3 linked regions of the Kluyveromyces lactis genome follow. The protein of the gene in region 3 interacts with the protein of the main gene of each other region in a biochemical or structural test. Links are inferred from orthologs where the notes say so. Each region holds a gene or a part of one and is shown on either strand. Other genes may lie near its edges.

The links.
Region 1: of the proteins of SMC3 (region 3) and HOS1, one has a biochemical effect on the other in vitro, tested with the Saccharomyces cerevisiae proteins (2 studies listed by BioGRID, with this or other methods). The link is inferred for Kluyveromyces lactis from reciprocal best matches to the Saccharomyces cerevisiae genes SMC3 and HOS1.
Region 2: of the proteins of SMC3 (region 3) and ECO1, one has a biochemical effect on the other in vitro, tested with the Saccharomyces cerevisiae proteins (3 studies listed by BioGRID). The link is inferred for Kluyveromyces lactis from reciprocal best matches to the Saccharomyces cerevisiae genes SMC3 and ECO1.

The regions. Positions count from the first base shown.
Region 1 is NC_006038.1:821,298-824,538, forward strand, and holds HOS1 (histone deacetylase), read left to right. Parts: upstream 1-1,331; coding exon 1,332-2,657; downstream 2,658-3,241. Other genes in the region: SPE3 (spermidine synthase), read left to right, coding at 91-972; ALG1 (chitobiosyldiphosphodolichol beta-1,4 mannosyltransferase), read right to left, coding at 2,648-3,241. UniProt on the Saccharomyces cerevisiae protein: Responsible for the deacetylation of lysine residues on the N-terminal part of the core histones (H2A, H2B, H3 and H4). Histone deacetylation plays an important role in transcriptional regulation, cell cycle progression and developmental events.
Region 2 is NC_006038.1:585,968-588,927, reverse strand, and holds ECO1 (Eco1p), read left to right. Parts: upstream 1-1,521; coding exon 1,522-2,337; downstream 2,338-2,960. Other genes in the region: putative uridine kinase DAS2, read right to left, coding at 1-107; phosphoprotein phosphatase CDC14, read right to left, coding at 2,513-2,960. UniProt on the Saccharomyces cerevisiae protein: Required for establishment of sister chromatid cohesion during S phase but not for its further maintenance during G2 or M phases or for loading the cohesin complex onto DNA.
Region 3 is NC_006037.1:22,833-27,174, forward strand, and holds the start of SMC3 (cohesin subunit SMC3), read right to left. Parts: upstream 2,867-4,342; coding exon 1-2,866. Other genes in the region: KLLA0_A00352g (pyridoxal 5'-phosphate synthase subunit PdxT), read right to left, coding at 3,750-4,342. UniProt on the Saccharomyces cerevisiae protein: Involved in chromosome cohesion during cell cycle and in DNA repair. Central component of cohesin complex. The cohesin complex is required for the cohesion of sister chromatids after DNA replication.

The sequences.
Region 1 (3,241 bases), on a different chromosome or scaffold from region 3:
GTTAGCACTCAATTGGTTCACTATCTGATCTACCATATTGTCTGGCTTTATTAAATCTTTAGTGGAGTCGAAAAGAAGCAAGTAGAAATCATGTCAGAATTAACACATCCTACGATTGTTGACGGATGGTTCAGAGAAATCTCTGATACCATGTGGCCAGGTCAAGCCATGACTTTGCGTGTGGAAAAGATCTTACACCATGAAAAATCTAAGTACCAAGACGTTTTGGTTTTCAAGTCTACTGATTATGGTAACGTTTTGGTTTTGGATAACGCTATTCAAGTCACCGAGCGTGATGAGTTCTCATACCAGGAGATGATTGCCCATTTGGCATTAAACTCTCACCCAAACCCAAAGAAGGTTTTGGTTATCGGTGGTGGCGATGGCGGTGTCTTGAGAGAAATTGTCAAGCATGATTCCGTCCAAGAAGCTTGGTTATGTGACATTGACGAAGCTGTTATCAGAGTTTCCAAGGAGTACTTACCAGAGATGGCGAAGTCTTATTCCCATCCTAAGGTCAAGACTCATATCGGTGATGGATTCCAATTCTTGAGAGACTACCAAAACACTTTTGACGTTATCATCACTGACTCATCTGACCCGGAAGGTCCAGCCGCCTCTTTGTTCCAACAATCTTACTTCGAATTGTTGAACGGTGCCTTGACTGAGAAAGGTGTCATTTCCACTCAAGCTGAAAGTATGTGGATCCACTTGCCAATCATCAAGGAATTGAAGAAGGCTTGTAAGGAGGTCTTCCCAACTGTTGGTTATGCCTACACCACCATTCCAACTTATCCAACCGGTCAAATTGGTTTTATGGTGTGCTCTAAGGATGCCAATGTGGATGTCACTAAACCGTTGAGATCAATCTCAGAAGAAGAAGAAGAAGCCAAGTACCGTTACTACAACAAGAAAGTGCACGAAGCCTCTTTCGTACTACCTACTTGGGTCGCTAAAGAATTGGACCTGTGACAACTTAACGAATTGATAATCCCTCTTTTTTCTTTATGCGGTCTTGTAGATCGCTATTTCTATTTTATTCCTGACTTATCAACTATTAACGTTATCACTCATAGATTTAGGCTAGACTAATTAATTCTTCAGTCTACTATTAGGATCAATGTTCGTTTGACACAACATATTAATAAGTACTAGTGTAGCCATAGATACCGCCTTATTATCTATATAAATCTCAATCCTTTTTCTTCCTTTTCGGACATTTTTGATTCTTCTTCTCTTTGCATTAAGACATATCGAATGAATCTCTTACCTTAAAAACACCAATGCTTTGAACTCGAATAAACTCAATTGATAAGAAAAGGCAAATACGGATGAAGTTTATCATCAGTACATCTTCATTACAATGTCAAATTGCCGATATTCTGCCTTGCAATAACGGCAAAAAAGCTCAATTGATTTTTGCATTGATTCGTGCGTATGGTTTACTAGATTATTTTGATCATGTCAATGATGCTACGGTTGCAACAATAAAAGATATGACGAAGTTCCACACATTAGATTACGTGAAGCATCTATTGACAGAAGAATTTACTTACAATTCCACTGAATATATTGAGAAAGAAGACCAAGTACTTCGACTGGCTGAAGTTGCAAGGAAATTTTACCAAGACTCGGATGTTGAGGATGACAACCAGGTCTTGTGGTTCGATAATGAATATGAGCTGTTCCGGTATTTCAAAGAAGAATTCAACAACGCTAATAGTGAAATCGACGATGTTTCGAAGTTAGACGATAAGGATTTTACTAAGTACGGATTACAACATGATTGTCCTAAATTTCCGTTTCTTTCAATGTATCTTCAAGTAATAGTGGGTGGAACCCTCTCTTTATTACAACATATCGACCATCAGACACCATCAATTGCGATTAATTGGGATGGTGGAAGGCACCATGCGCTCAAACATTATGCTAGTGGATTCTGCTACGTAAATGACATCGTATTGTTAATTCAAAGTCTAAGACGTAAAGGTTGGAAGAGAGTAACATACATTGATTTTGATCTTCATTATGGTGATGGTGTCGCAAAAGCATTCAGATTCTCTGAGAACGTACAAACTATTTCTGTTCATTTATATGAACCGGGATTTTTCCCTGGAACCGGTTCTTTGGAAGAAACTAGAAACTCTAAACAGATGGTCAATTTACCGGTATTGCACGGCATGGATGATAAGTATTTGCTCGAGCTAATTTCAAGTGTCATCACTCCATTGATTGAGACATTTAATGCTGAGTGTATAGTTATCCAATGTGGATCAGATGGGTTAAGTGGTGATAAATACAACGAATGGCAGCTTTCAATCCGTGGACTGACGCACGCCATAATTTCGATCATGGATATGTTCAGGGACAAACAAGTATTTCTCCTGGGTGGTGGAGGGTACAACGAATTGCTTGTTTCAAGGTTTTACACATATCTAACATCCAAAGTCTTAGAACTTTACGGAAACAATATTTCTTCTTCTATTCCAGAAGACGATAGTGAAGTTTTATTACGAGATCATGAATTCATTGAGCTATACAAGGATGAGAATTATAGATATTGGTCCTACGACAATGACGGAGAACAAAAAACGAGTCTGCAAAATGACAATAAGAAACTCCACATTGAAGAGCTGAAGCAATTTTATCACTTATGAATAATCTTCAATTCAGACAACGCGGATTCCCAACTTTCATTCCATCTATTTTTGCTTTCTCTAAGGGCACCTCTTTTGATCTCCTGATGAACCTGTTCATCTTTCACCGAAAATATAAGAGCTTCATGCAACTCACGTCTATCTGCAAATTTCAACCCATTAACATTCTGTTGAACAAGTTCGTCCAATACGGGATAATTCATACAGATGACAGGTAACCCAGAACCGAACATATCAAGGATTTTCATAGGTAAATCAAGCCCCGAGCTTGAAGTATGTAACGATACCCCATAGTCACACAACCTTAATAGCTTAGGATAATCTTCTGATGATAGCCATAAGAATTCGACCTGGACGCGGTCCCATTTGAAATCCTGTACCTGTTTTACAATCTTTTCTTGCAATGGGCCCTTCCCAGTGATGAAACACAAGATTCGAGGCAAAGTCTGATCAAACTTTTGGAATGAATTTTCATATATCTTGAAGGATCCGATTAATACTGAGATATCTTCGTCCGGTGTGAAAGAGGTAGAAGTGACAAATATCTTATCCTTTGAAATATCAAATTCTTTCGGTATATATTT
Region 2 (2,960 bases), on a different chromosome or scaffold from region 3:
ACATCATGCTTGAATATTCCCAGTAGTTTGGATTCGATTTCTTTGGTGGTTTGCAAAGCACCAGCATAATGACCGCCAGCAATGTTGATAACTATACGATGCAACATTACTTTGCCTTAACTAATGATCAAAACAGTATTTGAAAGACCTGCTGTTCGCCGTGTTTGTATTCAACAGTTGTCTCCCTGGTCGTCTAAAAGTGCATATTTTTCTTTTATGACTTAATTCATCAATATCCCGAATGAACAATGATTAGGCGATTACTGCTTGAATAGTCGTGATAATAAATATTGAGGGTTGAAAACTGTAACGCAGCAATGGTCTAATCAAAAAATACGATCTCTCATAAAAGGAGCTGGGACTCTTGGCATACACATAGTAATTTTATGTACTGAGAAATTAATGCTGAAATGGCTTTTCAAAAAGTCAAAAAATTATGGACGAGTCCGGAGTCGAACCGAAGACCTCTCCCATGCTAAGGGAGCGCGCTACCAACTACGCCACACGCCCAATTAATATGTTATGTTGTGATATGGTTTGGATGATAGTTGATTGATTAATCGCCTGATGAGGGATCGTTGATATCAAACAATATAACGAATATAATATAATCTATTTAGCTAGATCGTTGAGTATATGCGTCCTTGCTCTTCTTTCTCTTGTTGCATCCAACCTCCCCAAGAGGTCGCAACATAGCTCAGCCTTTTATACTCGACTTATATACTCGGATGGTCGTCAGACTTCGTCATGGCAACTCATTGCCTCCATGCCCTTGTAGGTTTTGTGCAGCTACCGTCCTCCACGCGCACTCAAGACCATCACGTGACCGTCTATGATCCATCTAGGTCATCCCTCTGGATACCACAGGATCCATATGCCCAGTCACTGACGTCTTGGAACTCTGCCGTGTGCTGGCTAGCTCACATGACCTCTCGTCTGGCTTGTCTTAAGTCTATCTTACGACATGTTATAAGAATGTAGAACTAGTATACAGACTGTTGGAACTAGTCATAACGCATGACCGGGTAATACAAATATAATAGGCGGTTAATAATGGTTTTGTGTCACTGACACATAACAAAGTATATAAACCAGTACTCAGATCTAATCTACTAATTAGTAGGAATCAGATCTACAGACACCAGGTGCATCTAATTATTCTAGGAGATATATAGCTAATCAAGATGGATTCTTCTAATAAAGATCTGATAAGATCAAAGCCACGTGACATGTATAGTCACATACCACAACATGGTAACCATGTGACAAACTCCATTAGCTCTAAGGAAGAATACACGATTTTCTCGTAATTGGTTCCCTATTGCATAAACTGGATACACAGAGGCATATATGGTAAATGCAGCATCTCTTTGCTTACCGTTCTTACCAGTTTTCTCTCATGAACAATACCCTTGTTTCAACCTGAAATATAAATCGATCTACACTTTCTAACGTGTAATTATCAAAAGTAAAAACGCGTCAGTAAATTGCCACCAATCAAAGCTCTCCAATCAACCGTACATGTCCAAATATCGGTCACCAAAGACTAAAAAGTCTATTCAAGCCACGTTACAGTTTAAATCGACCCCAACTCTGGTAAAATGTCCGAAGTGTTCGATAACTTATAGCACTAATTCTCCTAGTGATCTGGTGCAGCACAAAAGATATCATGACTTACATTTAAATGGGAAAAGGTGGTCTCAGAGTTGGGGCGACATCATTAATAGAGTAGAGGCTCTTAAAACAGAGAAACAACTGAAATATTCAATGGTGTCTGAAAAGGATAAAAAAGTGATGTCCTTTCAACTCCCGTCCCAAACCTTATATGAAGAAGATGAGTACATTGTCATGATTTCTCCAAAGAAAGCTAACGAAGTGAAGGCTGCACTCGACTTGATGTCAATTGTAAATGAAGAATTAAATGCACCTCATGATGAGAATGCTTTTTGGTCTGAGGTGGATAAGTCCGGCAAATCACAAGGTAAAGCGTTTATCTACGTAAAGAAGAATAGAGCTGTTGGAGTTATTACAATCGAGTACATCGAGAATACCAACCGAGGTAAATGGATGGTATTGGACACCAAAGCCATAGTACCGAATGTAGTACCGGACGTCAAACTGGGAATATCGAGAATATGGGTATGTAGAAATCAAAGGCAACATGGCATTGCTACAAGACTACTAGAGGTCGCAAGGAAGAAATCAATATACGGATGTATTGTCAATAAATGGGAACTGGCATGGTCACAACCAAGCCAAAGCGGTAGCATATTGGCTAAAAGCTATAATGCTGCAAAACATCGCTCAGGAAAACTTTTAATACCGTGTTACATATGATACATATTAGTATGCAAGTAGATGAATAACGAAACGAATAAAAGAGAAGCATCCAACTGCATAGACGGTTGCAACCAAAGCGTGTAATTATGTGAAATTGATATGAAAGCTGATTTGGTTTCTACTTGCAAAACTGTAACCAACACAGGCAAAATATTCGTACAACGGTCAATCTCTATCTCTTACTCGACGATATCTTTCTGACCCCACTGGTGGTTCTTTTTCCGTTTGATGACGCCAGACGTCTGTTTTTAGGCAGAATTTGTCTCAATGCGTCTGTGTCTTCTATAGACGAGTTGTTAACTTGTCTTGTGTCATTTGGAGACGTTTTCATGCTATTATCAGTATTCATGGAATCATCTATGTCACTGTTATTATCGGTAATCTTGGCGGCAACCTGGTTTTCCTTCTTGTTGATGTCTTCGATTGTGTTGCCTCCATGTCCCTTTCTTGGTTGACCAGGAGATTGTTGAGGTACTGCGGTATGCGAGTTCTTTTGAAAGCCTATTGTTTTCTTTGATACAGACGGAGGAGTCATTGTATGATCATCTTGGGTATATTCTGCTTCGTAATTTACTTTCTTCTTTCTCTTTTGCTGCTTATACTCTTCCACGGTGATCAAT
Region 3 (4,342 bases):
CTAATAGCCCTACCTCCCTAATCAATTGTTGCAATTCCTCCTTTCTTGAGTTCAGAGTTGACTTTTTCAATAAAACTTTTTCTGCATTCTTCTGAAAGTTCGTAATCCTTTTGACTAGTGATCGTTGTTGTGAGTTGGCTTTATCTAAATCCTTTTGAAGGGTTGCTTTCTCTCCTCTAAGGGATTTGATACTGCTGTCTAGTACTGATAATTCAGATTCTACTTGTTCTTTTGTCCTTGTCACAGTTTGTTTCTCCATCAGAACAAGTTCCATTTGGTTGTTGATCTGACTGATTTGTAAACTGTGTGAAGAAGAGGGCTTTCGCTCCAGCTCATGTAACTTAGGAAGTAGCTTTGAATTTAATTCAGCGTTGAGCTCGTCTAACTTAGAAGAAAGTTCATTCAAAGTTGACAAATTGAAATTCAAAGACGTTTCTTTCGTTTGAATGCTATTGGATATAGCAAGTAACTCGGCTTTTTCATCTGCATCTAGTTCATTAACAAATGGTTTAGATATATCCGCAGCAAAGGCATTTGTACGTTCTCTACATTGTTCAAGCTCCGTATCGATTTTGTTTAGTCTCGCCTTCAAAGCTTTTATAGAGTCATCAATCGTAATTTTCTGAGACAGCTTTGCTTTCAACTGACTCCTAGCCTTTTCTATGCCTGCTTCATACGCATCTCTCTCTGCTGCAGCATCCTTAACAACATTGTTTAGGCCATCAATTTCCTGTTCGATACTCTGGAGCGCCTGTTTAATCTCTTGAAGCTCTACTTGAATTTTTTTATATTCTCTTTTCGATTGTTTGAAGTCTCGTAAAGTATCCAGTCTATTACTCTTGTACTGATCCAAGTAACCACCAGATAAAACACCTTTACTGTCTGCACGATCACCGTCTAAAGTTATAGCATTTAGTTTGTATTCTTTGGCAAGGGAAGCACCATCAATCAAGGATTTAACGACAAGAGTTCGGCCAAAAACCTGCTTGATCACTTTCTCAAATTTCACGTCATACTTGATCTTTTTGATTAGAGGTGTACATTGATTTTTCTCCAAGTTATTTGGATACGTAAAGTTGGTATCCACATGCAACTTATTGAGAGGAATAAATGTTACCCTTCCACCTTTCGTTGCAAACAATTCCTTAATTAATAAACTTGCGGTCTCTTCATTGTCAACAACAACATTGAAAAGGGAGTTGCCTCCCACGACTTCTGCACATATTTTGTATTTATCGCTTACCTTTATCAACTCGCCTACAGGGCCAAAAACATGCTCATGTAAATTTAACCTATTAACAATGTCATTGACATTTTGTAGACCAAGTGCTAAAGAACGATCAATTGTTTCATTCATATCTGACTCAAACCTTTTGACATCATTATCGAGAGAGGTGGAAATTGTTTGTAGTCTTTGTTCAGTTCTCCATAGCTGTTTTCTTTGATCGATTTTCGTCAAATATTCCTTCTTGGCTTGTGTTACTTTATTTTGCAAGTCTTCCTGCTGAGCAACAGATCCCATTCCATTTACTGAATCGGCTAGGTCTTCAATTTCAGCATTTAAATTCTCTAAATCATGCTGTAGTGTACTAAGTTGGCTAGTCAGTTGATCTTTTAATATATTAGATTTATTCAGCGACTGGTTTAATAAGTTAATTTGTTCTTGGATCCAGTCATTTCTTTCGTTTACCGTACGAAAATCTTCATACTTCCCTTTTTTTGATAATAATTCTCTTTGCCTCTTTGTGAGTTTCTCGATTTCTACTTTTAAGATTTCTGCTTCATTTGATAGTTTTTGGAATTTTGGTTGTACCTCGGCAATTGACGAGCAGTTAATCTCAATTTGTTTCTTTACTTCTCCGATTTCTTTGACATTTGATTCCAAATGCGCTTGTGAAGCATCCAATTGCATTTGAATATCGTTTAACCTAGTGTCTAAATCCGCCAATTCCCCAGCAACTTCTAGCTTCGATGCCTTTAACTGTGGTAGATCAGTAGACTGTTTTATTTTAATCTCACTTTCTAAAGAATTCATTCTCTTGTTGAGCTCTACTGCAAGCACTTCTCTTTTTTCCAATTCGTTAACATACTCAGAAGAATTTTCAATAATTGAATTGTACTCACCTTCAAGTTGTTCAATTTGGTTCGTAATATCGTTCAATTCCCTATCGTATAAGCAAAACTGTAAAACTTTTCGATCTCTATTTAGATTGTTGTACTTTTCCAATTCTTCCTTTTCATCGGACAATTCGCTCAACCGTTTGTCAAGTTCGTTTAATTCATTAGTGATTTTCGTTCTATCTCTCTCTGCTGCCTCCATCTTTTTCAAAGACTCTTTCAGTTTGTTTTCGAATGATTTTGCACCTACAACGTCCTCTAATAGATGCAGCCGTTCTAAATCTTTCGCGTTGGTCAAGGATATTATTCGCCCTTGCGGAACAATGTTGTAAGGATTCGAAGTTGAAAATCCTACATTTTCTAAAACTCTTCTAACGTCTTGTCTTGTTGAGTTCTTGTCATTAATCATGTATTCATCCTTCTTCAATCCCACTGTCCTTCTAATTCTGACCTCTCCAGTATCGTTTCTTAACGGTGCAAGCATTAAGTTCTCAGGATCATCAAAGATAATTTCAACGAATGCACTCATTACTTGCCCTGCACCTTGGTAGATAAAACCCTTCCTATCTTCACGTTTTAAGTTTGAATTCTCTTCGCTTAAGACGAACCTAATAGCTGCAAAGAAGTTCGACTTACCAGAACCGTTGGAACCGACAACAACATTGTGATGGGGTGAAAAATTCTCCACCACGGTCCGATTCTTGTAAGTCTTGAAGCCACTGATTATAACAGTTTTGATGTGAACCATTTCAACAGTGTTGTAGTCTGTCTTCTTGCCCTTGTAATTACTCTTATTCCTAGAGCTTTCTGATACAGGACGCGTAAACTTAACTTGTTTTGTATAATTTTGTATGTGTTTATGATATTCATTTTTTTTTATTAAAGAAGGACGCGTTTCATAGACAGTGTATAACATAAACAAATTTCAACTCGTTACCCTAACATGCTAACTTAAATGCAACGGTAAGCTTCCTTCTTCGAAATGTTCAAAGTATTTAAATGGATCCAATGTACGCTCGTCTTTACTAAGGCTTGATACGAAGTTAGCTGCTTTCCGATGTAAGTGTTTAAATGGATCATAAACTATGATCGGGTAACTACCAATGTAATAGGCGGTTAAGTATCAAGATGATACATAACGGGTGTTTCGGAATGAAATATCATTAACTAATCTGAATTATTATATAAGGAGGCATTAGATCTGGACAAGGACCATCAATACAGTCATGCCAGATCCCCAGGTGCATCAACATACACTACTGGATATATAGCTAATAAACGCTATGGATTCATCAGATACCAAAGATCTTAATTTAACAGCACGTGACTGGAAATACCAGCCACATCAACAATAAGGTATATTGAGAATCTGCTCCAACACTGAACAGGCATTGGACACTGTAGTCTAGTGGTTTAGGATACTCCCCTTCCATAACAATGATCTTCAGGATCATAGGCGAGGGAGTGACACGGGTTCGAATCCCGTCAGTGTCAATTTTTTCTTTTTTTCTTAAACGCATTTATTATTGAATAATTAATGACGCAAAGGGGCGAATTGGATAAAAGAATTTCGTTCTGAATTCAGCGTTTATTCAGACTTAATACATACAAACGATAGATATTTATTTGCATCAATTGTTTAGAACAAATTTCTGAATAAAATAGTTGTGGAATCTGGCATCATTATCGGACAATTCTGGATGGAAAGACGTTCCTAGAATGCGTCCTTGTTGACTGACTGCCACTATTGATCCATCTTTTAAAGTGTACAATGTCTCTACATCATCCTGAGATAATATCTCTTCTATAATTGGGGCTCTAATGAAGTAGACTTGGAAACCTGTGCAATCAGGAATAAATGAAGAAAAGTCACATGTTTCGATGAACGATTCAGCCTGACGACCAAACGCATTTCTTCTCACCTTTACCTTTAACAGGTCGAGCGAATTTACCAAGCTCGACTCATTGCTGAGTTGTTTAGCTAAAAAAATCAATCCAGCACAGGTCCCCCACACCGTTTTAGTGGGGTCGTGAACGAATTCAATCAAGGAATCAAAAAGTCCTGTTCTTTTCGCAATTAGCGAGATTGTCGTAGATTCACCACCAGGTATAATTAAAGAATCACAGGAGGAAAGCTGTGGAGCAGTCTTAACTGTTATTACTTCTATATCATGTTTATTATCTTCAATGGCTTTATTCAAAAGGGCAATGTGTTCTGCAAACG